2 linked regions of the Arabidopsis thaliana genome follow. The protein of the gene in region 1 interacts with the protein of each later gene in a pairwise test. Each region holds a gene or a part of one and is shown in the gene's direction. Other genes may lie near its edges. The genes, in order: AT5G25490 and AtRZ-1c.

Evidence for each region.
Region 2: the proteins of AT5G25490 (region 1) and AtRZ-1c interact in a two-hybrid assay, tested with the Arabidopsis thaliana proteins (one large-scale study listed by BioGRID).

Annotation. Positions count from the first base shown.
Region 1 is NC_003076.8:8,874,714-8,878,703, forward strand, and holds AT5G25490 (Ran BP2/NZF zinc finger-like superfamily protein), read left to right. Parts: upstream 1-1,607; 5' UTR 1,608-1,823; intron 1,824-1,919; 5' UTR 1,920-1,925; coding exon 1,926-2,347; intron 2,348-2,535; coding exon 2,536-2,626; 3' UTR 2,627-2,661; exon of another isoform or gene 2,662-2,846; 3' UTR 2,847-3,191; downstream 3,192-3,990.
Region 2 is NC_003076.8:1,189,947-1,196,259, forward strand, and holds AtRZ-1c (RNA-binding (RRM/RBD/RNP motifs) family protein with retrovirus zinc finger-like domain-containing protein), read left to right. Parts: upstream 1-2,312; 5' UTR 2,313-2,402; intron 2,403-2,504; 5' UTR 2,505-2,514; coding exon 2,515-2,625; exon of another isoform or gene 2,626-4,548; coding exon 4,549-5,087; intron 5,088-5,184; coding exon 5,185-5,467; 3' UTR 5,468-5,813; downstream 5,814-6,313. Other genes in the region: KTF1 (kow domain-containing transcription factor 1), read left to right, coding at 6,123-6,313.

The DNA of each region.
Region 1 (3,990 bases):
ACAATGGAAAGGGTGATTTGACGGTAAAAAAAGCGATTGCAGTGTACCCACAAACGACAATTTATAATTTGTATGTGGGATATATAGTAAGGGAAATAAAAATCATAGGGTTAAATAGAAAAAGTGAATGAAACTGTCTTGTAGTTGTAGTAGACGAATCAAAAGGACACGTAGATGGTCAAGATACGAACCTCAAAGCCTTTTCCCTCCCATTTAATGATTCTTGTTTTTGTTTTAATCTATAATTTTTCATGATTTTCTTAAGTCTTTGTTTTGAAAATCACGAACGAATAAGTTCTGATGGATGTACTTGAATATTAGTAACAAGACTAATTGAATTAAAGAAAAGAGAAGTTATTCCTTTGACGTTTATAATTTTCCGCGGCTAAGGGAACATATACGTTCCTTGAAACTGTTGCCATGCAACTTTTGCTTTAACAGTTTAGAGAGTTTTTTACTTCATGCTACATCCTTTTTCTCCTGACACACACAAGAGCATATTATACATCCATGTACCTCCTCCATCGACCATCAATATATAGATACATGTGATTATTAATTATCTACATAAAAAGTTATACCACGAAGTTGCGATTGATAATATGAAAGTGGTACATGCTCGAAATAGATAATGAGAATATATCAGCTTTAGTTGTCTCATCGTTAGTCAATCTATATGTGCATATACAGTTAACAAGAAATCTATAAGCATATACGAACTGGGGTCCCAATAAGGTCTAAGAATCTTTTTTTTCTTTTTTTCTTTTCTTTGCTTTGCTTTAGTTTAGTTTGTGAAATTTAGTGAAAATTTCATTTTGTCTCATAGAGAAACCACATGTTAGTCAAAAATTATATAGTAAGTCCAAGAAAACTATATTAATATACCCATATTACCATATAGTCGGAGATTTCTAGTATCTCTAGTTTAGTTCTTCTTATTCATTATCAATTCAAGTGTTATAAAACCTCGAGACCAATAAAATAGGATTCACTCTCCTTCGTGCCCCCAAAGATATAGGTTTACATATCTATATTTCCACACCACCATTTTAAAAGCAAGAGTTAATTAAAGAGATATTTTTTAGTCATCTTGGTATGTAATCTGGTAAACTTTTTAGTTTGTTATCTTGTATAAACAACCAGTAAGATTTTGGTTCTTTTGTAAATACTTCTCTTTGAATTTAGGACTAGTGTTTTAAAATTACTTTCCTCCCATATTTTTGTTTTGATCTTTCAATTTAAATTAAAAGTTCGTTTACAACCCATGCATGCACACTTCCGAATTTAAACTCGGATTATAATTTGGCACTATAATAATCTATTAGAATACGTCTTGATTAATTTTAAAATATTTAGGTGTCTTAAAATAAGTACGTACGTTGATAAATATGGAGATATATACATCTGTCAAGTAAATGGTATTGAATTTGCCAGTATTAGCTTTTGTGAAGCTGACGCAAAATGAAAACGGCTGATATCTAAAGCTTTAACCTTGTGTTTCTTTTTTTTGTTTAAAATAGTGGGGTCTAGAAATGATAAATTAATTTAAAGTCCTCGATATATATAAATAGATAAATTTGTTTCTTTTGGGAATAACGTAGTTTACGGAGAAACCCAAATGTTAAAGGGAAATGCATTAAAGCTGTAGCAAAATAAGAAAGTAAAAACCAATTGAAACCCTAATTTCACTTCAAAAAATGTTCCCGGTTGTTAAAGGAAGGGCCTTTTGCTTTGTCCATATAAATATATTGTGAGAGTACAACAACACCTTCATAAGCTCTTACACTCATTTCAACTCTCTTTTTCGTTTCCATTACCCTCAGGTAATCATAACATATATATAAGTTACATTTGTAGATACATATGTCTTTAGTTTTGTGTAATTTGTTACTTAATTATTATTTTCTATGGTGTTGTAGAAGAAGATGAATAGGCCGGGAGATTGGAACTGCAGATTGTGTAGCCACCTCAACTTCCAGAGGAGGGATTCATGCCAACGTTGTAGAGAGCCTAGACCGGGCGGGATCAGTACCGATTTACTCAGCGGTTTTGGTGGCCGTCCGGTTAGTAGCTCCTTCGGTTTCAACACCGGGCCCGATGTGCGACCCGGGGATTGGTATTGCAACCTTGGGGATTGTGGGACACATAATTTTGCCAATAGGTCCAGTTGTTTCAAGTGTGGTGCCGCAAAAGATGAGTTTTCATGCTCAAGTGCTGCTGCAACAACCGGGTTTATGGACATGAATGTTGGTCCGAGACGTGGCCTTTTTGGTTTTGGCGGCAGCAGTAGTGGTGGTGGTGGTACGGGCCGTTCTCCTTGGAAATCTGGAGATTGGATTTGCCCAAGGTACTTTTTTGTTTGATTGTTTCTATGTATTGATGTTATTTTTTTGCAATAATATGTTTTGATGGTTAAAACTTAAAGCCAAAAAAGAAACATGCATGCTGGCTTACGTAAGCTAAACACGACCGTTTAAATTGTATTAATGTATATGCATATCGTAGAAACTGATTGGTTTAATTTGTATATTATAGGTCAGGCTGTAACGAACATAACTTCGCAAGCAGGTCAGAGTGTTTCAGGTGTAACGCACCAAAGGAACTTGCCACCGAACCACCCTATTAGTCATTTAGTCCTCCTACCTTCTTCATCATTTCCAAGTACTTTTCGTTTCAACAATAGTCTTAACTTCTGATCAGAAACAGTTCGACATATATATTTGGATGATAGAATTTGTTAACATTTACAACTTTATTATATCGTAAAAGTTTAAATAGTAGTGTGAAATACACTAACGATAGTACTTTAACGTTAACGTACGTATCTTTTTGATTATTTTTTTTAGTACTCTGGAAGCATTAGAGGAGAGCAGAAAGGTGAAGAATCGAAGCAAGATACCGACCGCCCTTAATCTCTTGATTTGTTTAATTTCTTAGATTTGACTCGTTTTATATCTCGTAGTAGTCAGACCTATGTTAGAATGTAAGCATGTCGAGAGTTTTCCGAAGCATTTTGTTCTGATATCGGTCTCCTAGCTAGTATGTAAGTTTGTTTGAATGTATTCTTATTTCTGATAAAGTTGTTTCCTTCTGATTCCGCAATCACGATTCTCATCTAAGTTTGAAACACTTGAGTTGTTGAACGTACGAGAGGCTGAGAGCTGTTGAGAACTTCTTCTGTGGCCGCAAATCCAAATTGCATGCAAATGTTATTATATATGCAATTAAAATTTTGTTATATAATTTGTAGTAGGAATGTAGTTTTACGTTAAACCAAACACAAACTCTAGTAACCGTTTGAAATGGGTAGATGCATGGACCACAACGAAACCTTTTGTCCAATGCCTCAAAAAAAAATATGCATGAGCATTCATATTATGATGTGGCTTGGTGATAATGAGCTTACCACCAAATCGAATGAAAATGTATGAGTTCCACTCTAAAATGAGAATAGTTATCAGAAAATATTAATTATGTTATATATCATTAATTAGTTTAGAATTCTAATTTATTTTCTTGGTAACATTAAGTTGCAAAATTAATTTTAATTAAATACAAATACGGATTTCACTATATATTAAATTGCGTATTCAAGGCCATCTTTTCGCACATACATTCGAGCAGTCGAACAAAACCCATAAGAAGATTTTTGCAATGAAGTTTTGTCATAAACAACAATATTGCAACTGATCGATGACCGTTTCCTTAATTGTTTGTAATGGGTGGTATACTTAAAAATTTGTTTTCAAAATGTAAGTAAGAAAGAAAAAAATCAGTAACGCATTTTTCATATTTACCATTCAACTTTTGATCCTGCTTATTTTTGTACTGTTTGTTCCGTCTCGCAGTACTAATTAGAACTACACTTTTTTTGGTCAAAACACTAACTACATTTTTTTTGCTTGATCTACTACTCAATATATTTTTGTTTTTATCGCTCGTTCTATACTGCCACGTACGATTGAGACTCTAAAATAGAGCAAGCGTACG
Region 2 (6,313 bases), 7.7 Mb from region 1:
GAGATATTCCTTGTCTCCCACACTTTCACCTGAAGATCATCAAAAGCCACAAGCCTATATAAAATTAGAGATCAACACCACTATGCATTACTATTTTACTTCTTTATATTAATAAACATATAGACAACTAAATTTATCACTTTAAAAACCAAAAATTATACGTACATGTACAACAAAAAAGCATTTCATTCTCATGGATCCCACTTATTTTTCTCCTTTTTTCAATGAAAGTGATGTCTTTTCTCCTAAATGTGATAAATTTAATTCTTTTTTATATTTACAAAACAAAAACAAGAATAGTCAAAACAGTAACAGTAATAACAAGATACTAGATAAAATATCCGTGAATTTGATCTTAAAATAACAATACAAATTGAGTAGTATAATAAAATTTAGTTATATGAAAGAAGAATAAATATTACTTGACGTTGAAGAGGGAAAAATGAAAGGTTTACAGAGAAAAAAAAAAACAAAAAATAAAATAAAGAAGCCTTGAGATATAACGAAAATGTTGGCTTTCACTTGTGACTGTAATTTTTATTCCAAACTCTTAACTATGAAATTACGTTCAAATGTATTTACGATAACTGCCTGGTCATATACATAATCAAATCAAGTTTTTAACATGTGGTTCGTGCACCACTAGTTTTCTAAAAGGTTAGGATATTAGAACATACGTCTTGAAACCCTAGCATCTATAATTCTTTGTAACCATATATTCAAAATTTATAGATACTCAAAAATTTCCTAAAAGTATTAAAATTTGTCAATAGTAAAAAGCTTCGCACACAATTATTTTGTTTGGGAAGATGAGTTATCTACCCATATCATGGCAGACAACCTGGTACCTTTGCCTCTGTCCACATTATCATAGATTATATATATTTTTGGTTTTATATTCCATTTCTCTGTATTTTATACTTTAGAATCTTATTTACACAAATTTAGTATATGATTTTTTTTTGTATCTTTAGATGTAACTTTTTGATGACATTAAATAGATGGTATATTAGGTCAAATAATCAAAGTGTAACAGTATATACTATTATAGATCTATGTCATATATGACCTATTTAATTTGTTGGAATCTCTCGAAATGTACAAAATAATATTGGTTAGGTTTAAAAATGTTTAAGCACCAACTGGATCATTATATTAAATTAATAATCCAAGTGGTATTAATTACAATTAAACTTTCTTATATGCATTTCTTATAAAACTTTCCCTCGAATCTTGAGAGTCATTTTAGTAATTCGAAAGGAAACTTAGTTTAACAAATTTTCCTATAAAGAAAAACAAAACCGATTTCCTTGTACATTTGCGGATGACTATTTCTACAATTACAGTTTATGAATTCGTTCATAAAGCCTTTTGGCCATACAAATTTTGTATACCTCCAAATTTTAAGCCATATTTAACCATCTTGCTTAAGTAATGACCGTAAAGTCAAGTACATATCTGTCCACATGGGAACATGGATGCTTCTAAGCTAGTAATTATCCACATGATGTTGCAAAGGCACCGTTTTATACATAATGCCACACATGTAAAGCCCGGAATAATATGTGATATCTTAAACCATCACATACCTCCCTAAGATTTGTATGGAAATATATAAAAATTATTATGCTACAAAAATTCATTCGTCTTGTAATGAAAAGTAAAATTGTTTAAACGTACGTTTTAGAAAAAAAAGAAGAAGAGAGAAATTGTGCTATTTACATTACTGTTTTTTTTATTTGCATTAGAAATTTTGTTACTAGGTGCAAATACACTTAAAAATGAAGAATGTGTACCAGGATAGTCGGAGTTCTGTCTTAGGATGATAAATATACAAATCCTATAGGTTGTTTTGCTCCAAAACTGTGGGCTGGTTAAAGTTAGTTTATTAGCTAGGTAATGCGTGATTAGGTCATCTACACATAGTGACTTGGATCTCACGTGGAATAAAGCTTCTGATATCTTATTTTATTGTAAAGCTAAACAATATATATTGATCAGCTAAAACATATTCGATGTAATTTTTATATGCATGTTCAAATTTTCAAGTAAAAATTGGCAAGAGATCTTATTGGGAAAAACCCTCAACTACAATTATAATTGTTTTTTTTTTTGCCTCATTACAAGCTTAAAGGATGTATTTATAGTATACAGAAAAAAGAAAAGACTTATTTTTCTGGTCGGTCATTGGTGGATCCATGAGCTTAACAGAATAAACTTATGACTTGGGCCCATAGAGAAATTTGGGCCTAGGTCTGGGCCTCTGTTGTTAATCATCAGAGCCTTTAGGCACTTGTAGTGTACCTTTCTCGTGGCGTAGTACCTCAACCACCACCATTTTAGGGTTTCTTCGTGCCATTGATATTTTGAGAGGCGAAGGAAACAATACGATTCAGAGAGAGGTAAGATGAATCTATTCGTGTAATTCTAGAATTAATATCGAGTTTAGTCGTTGGAGATTTTTTTGTTCGTTTACCTCAATTTGTTTTGTTTTCTGTGAATAGACGAGTGAAAATGGCTGCAAAAGAAGGTAGTAGGATTTTTGTCGGTGGTTTATCGCCGGAAGTGACAGATAGAGACCTTGAAAGAGCTTTTAGCCGCTTCGGAGACATTCTCGATTGTCAGGTACCAATTTGAAATTTTTGTTCTATGTTTTGTTCTTCTCTGTGTAGGTTGGTACTATTTTTATTCCTTGAGTTTATCATAGCTTGTGCCTGCACTAGTCCTATGAAATTTAGAGATTGTTATCTAAAGCTTTGTGATAAGAATTGAACATGTCTATGAATATTTTTGGAATGTTTTAAGTTGAAAGTGGTATATTTGCTTGAGCTGATCGTGAAAACATATACTTGAAAAAATGAGATTACACTAATAATACAGAAATACAGAGACGTTTGAGGATTAGTTGAAAAGTCTTGCTTTGCATTATTCCTCTTTTCACTTATTGATCTTCCCTTTTTTCTTTTTTTTCCTGGATGCTGGTAATGTATCACTGAAACACTATAGATTGATGAATTAGGGATGATATTGATCAGAGCTACATGGTTCAAGTTGAGAAACTACTCTGTGATAAAGAATTAAACTGCCTGAGATTTTAGGATATACAGTAGTGTTTGAGTTTCTGAGCAAATTGATTTCCACACTTTTGGAATGTGTTTCACAAGGTTGGGACTGTCGTAACTGGTTACTTCAGTTTCTTCTATCATCAAGGAAATTCTTTATTTTGCTCTGGAGGGATGACTGTTTTTTCGTAACTCATGATTGAGATGTGTAATTCTTGAGTTCTCTAAGTATGCCGTGACTGGGTTTTGGTTTACTTCCTGATAATGTTCCTTGTTACTGCTCTTACTAGTAATTAAATGTTTGTTTGCTGGCCTGGGATACCTGATTTGGTTTTGAGTGGTCAATTCGAGATGCTACCCAGTTTAGGCCAGAGTCTCAGTTCTTCTTCAGGTGGTGAAGATATTTAGGAACTCCTTGCAGTAGTTACGTTGTGTAGTCATATTTCTGGATAATCCCAGTCTACATTCAGTTGTCTTGCCGCAAGATTTCGTTTTCTCCTCATACCCTGAGCATCAGTGCAAGCAGTTTGGATTCTTCAGCGTAGTATGAACCTGCAGAACGGAAAATTACACTCAGTTGAAGCAGAGATCTCAAGGTTTCGGTGATCCTTTTCTTATCCAGATTTCCTACTTGTCTTTCTTGTGGGCTGTTTGCTTTACCTCATCTCGCTTCTCCTGCCATGTGTGGCTAGTAGGAGTTACATGGATTTGATCTTTTCCTTTCTCTGTTCTTCTTTTTCAGTCTTACAAATTTCCTAATTTTCTAATGCAAGCCAATTAAAATGATTCTTGTGCCTGGGCCACACATTTTCTATATCCACCAACCCCAGTTCTCTGTGCTTATCTTTTCCGGAAGTTTCTGAAACCTGATAAAGCTCTTTGTGTGAGAGGAATTCTGTATTTCTGATCTGTGGGTTGTGGTGCTATGTAAAGAATCGTCAGCTCCAGTGAATCTGAATGACTTCAGCTGGATCAATGTCAGATGATATCTGCATATTGAGTAGAAACAGATGTTTGATCAGTAATTTTGAGTACAGCTAATTAACTGACTTCCTTCTCTGTAAACCTTCCTCTCTTTAGTTTTGCAACTACATCACATGGCTGTTGAGAATAGGGATGAACTAGTATACTATCTAAGGGCTTAAATTGAGGAATTTTTCATTTTGAACTGAGAAAAAGTTGTTAGTGCTTTCTGCTACCTCTGCTTGAGATTGGAGACTTACTTTAAAGTTGATTCAGTTTCTGGGGATCTGTACTGTGTTTTGCTCTGAAGTTGAGGTTGATTGACTATTTACTACACAAAGCAGGGTCACAGTGTTATGCAGTGAACCTTAAAACGGTTGGGTGTTTCTTGATGTCACATGGGCTTGATATGATCTTTCAGATTTTGCAATCGTTTCATTTTACTACTGCCCTTCTGCTCACTTTTAGCTACACGTATGCATATATCTTTGGGAAATCAGCTTTTATGGTGTATTGTGTATAGATCATGCTGGAAAGAGATACTGGTCGTTCACGTGGATTCGGGTTTATCACTTTTGCTGATCGCCGCGCTATGGATGAGTCCATCAGAGAGATGCATGGAAGGGACTTTGGTGATCGGGTCATCTCAGTGAACAGAGCTGAACCAAAACTGGGGCGAGATGATGGAGAAAGTCATGGCTCTAGAGGTGGCAGAGACAGTGGCTACTCGATTGCTGGAAAAGGAAGCTTTGGTGGAGGTGGAGGTGGAGGTGGGCGTGTTGGTGAAGATGAATGCTTCAAGTGTGGACGGGTTGGGCACTGGGCCCGTGATTGTCCTTCTGCTGGTGGTGGTCGTGGAGGACCTGTTGGTGGTTTTTCTTCACGTGCTAGTGCGTATGGAGGATCTGATGGACGTGTTGACCGCTATGCTGACCGTGACCGCTATGTGGACCGCGAACGATACATAGATGATCGATACGACGGTGCTGCACGCTATGGTGCTAGAGACAGGTTTGACAGCAGAGAAGCCTACATACCCCGTGATCGATACGCCAGTGACAGGTTAGAATCAAGTTTCTAATGCAACTCAGATTATTGTAAGGTTATCAAAGTGACTTGCTTTTCTTACATAACTTTATTCTTATCTGTGATTTTACAGGTATGCAGCCCCGGCTGATCGGTTTGCAGGTGGTGATAGATACAGCCGTGGATCAGACCGTTATCCTCCAGGGAGCTATGACAAAGCTCGGTCCTTTGAGAGAGACATAGCCCCGAGTGCAGGCAGTGACAGGTACGGTGGTGGTAGAGCTGGTGGTCCCATCCGTGGAGGAGGAGAGGAGGGAAGAGGGTTTAGAAGCAGAGCCGGTGCTCCTTATGAGAGACCGAGCAGAAGTGGTGGTGGTGGAGCTTATCCGTCGTCGTCCACTTTTGACCGTTATTAAGACACATTAATGAAAGAAAGTGAGAATGATGCTTGGTTAGAGCTCTATACACTCAGTCGTGTGTGTTGCTTGTGGTAATGAATATCTCTGTAAGCGTTATAGGTGTAAAAGACTTGTCTTTTTTATTTATATATGATTAGTTTGCGGACCTGTTTAGCTTTGTATTTTGATCCTTTATTATTTTTGGTTTGTTTTGGACCATAACATGACTTTTGAGCTTCGTCAGTCAATGTTAAACCTTGCACACATAACTAGCCTTTTTAGTTTCATCATCAATGTACAAGAGACGAGTGTCTTAGGCATCCGCATGTTATTCTAAAATTTTGATTTATTGTTTTGTATACTGTACATATTGCTTCATATTGTCAAAATTTTCGTTTTTTCCTATAAGTTCAATCTATTACCAAATAGGCAAATAAAACGAAGCAGAATATTATTGTAGAGACAAAAGAAAAGTTGAGAAATTAATTAAAACAATAAAGAGTCCAAATCGATTGGATAATAAAAAGGCCTTAAAAGAGTAAAGAGTAAAAAAAAAAGCCACTCAAAAGTCGGAAAACAATCACATCTATAAACGTTTTCTTCACTCTCTCTGCTACTTGTCTCTCAAAAGAAATGCAATTGTGAAAGCCCTAAACTAACCGTGAAGAAGACGATGGATCGCAAGGGAAAGGGTAAACAGGTCGCCGGTAGTGATTCGTATTCCGGCGGACAGAAAAGGAAAAACTCCGTCGAATTCAGAGATGAAGGTTTGAGGATTAAGAAGCGCAAAAACCCTGAGGTTCTTCAGTTCTTCGAAGAATCAGCTGAAGTTGGCTACTACGGAGGCAGCTCCGACGAAGATGA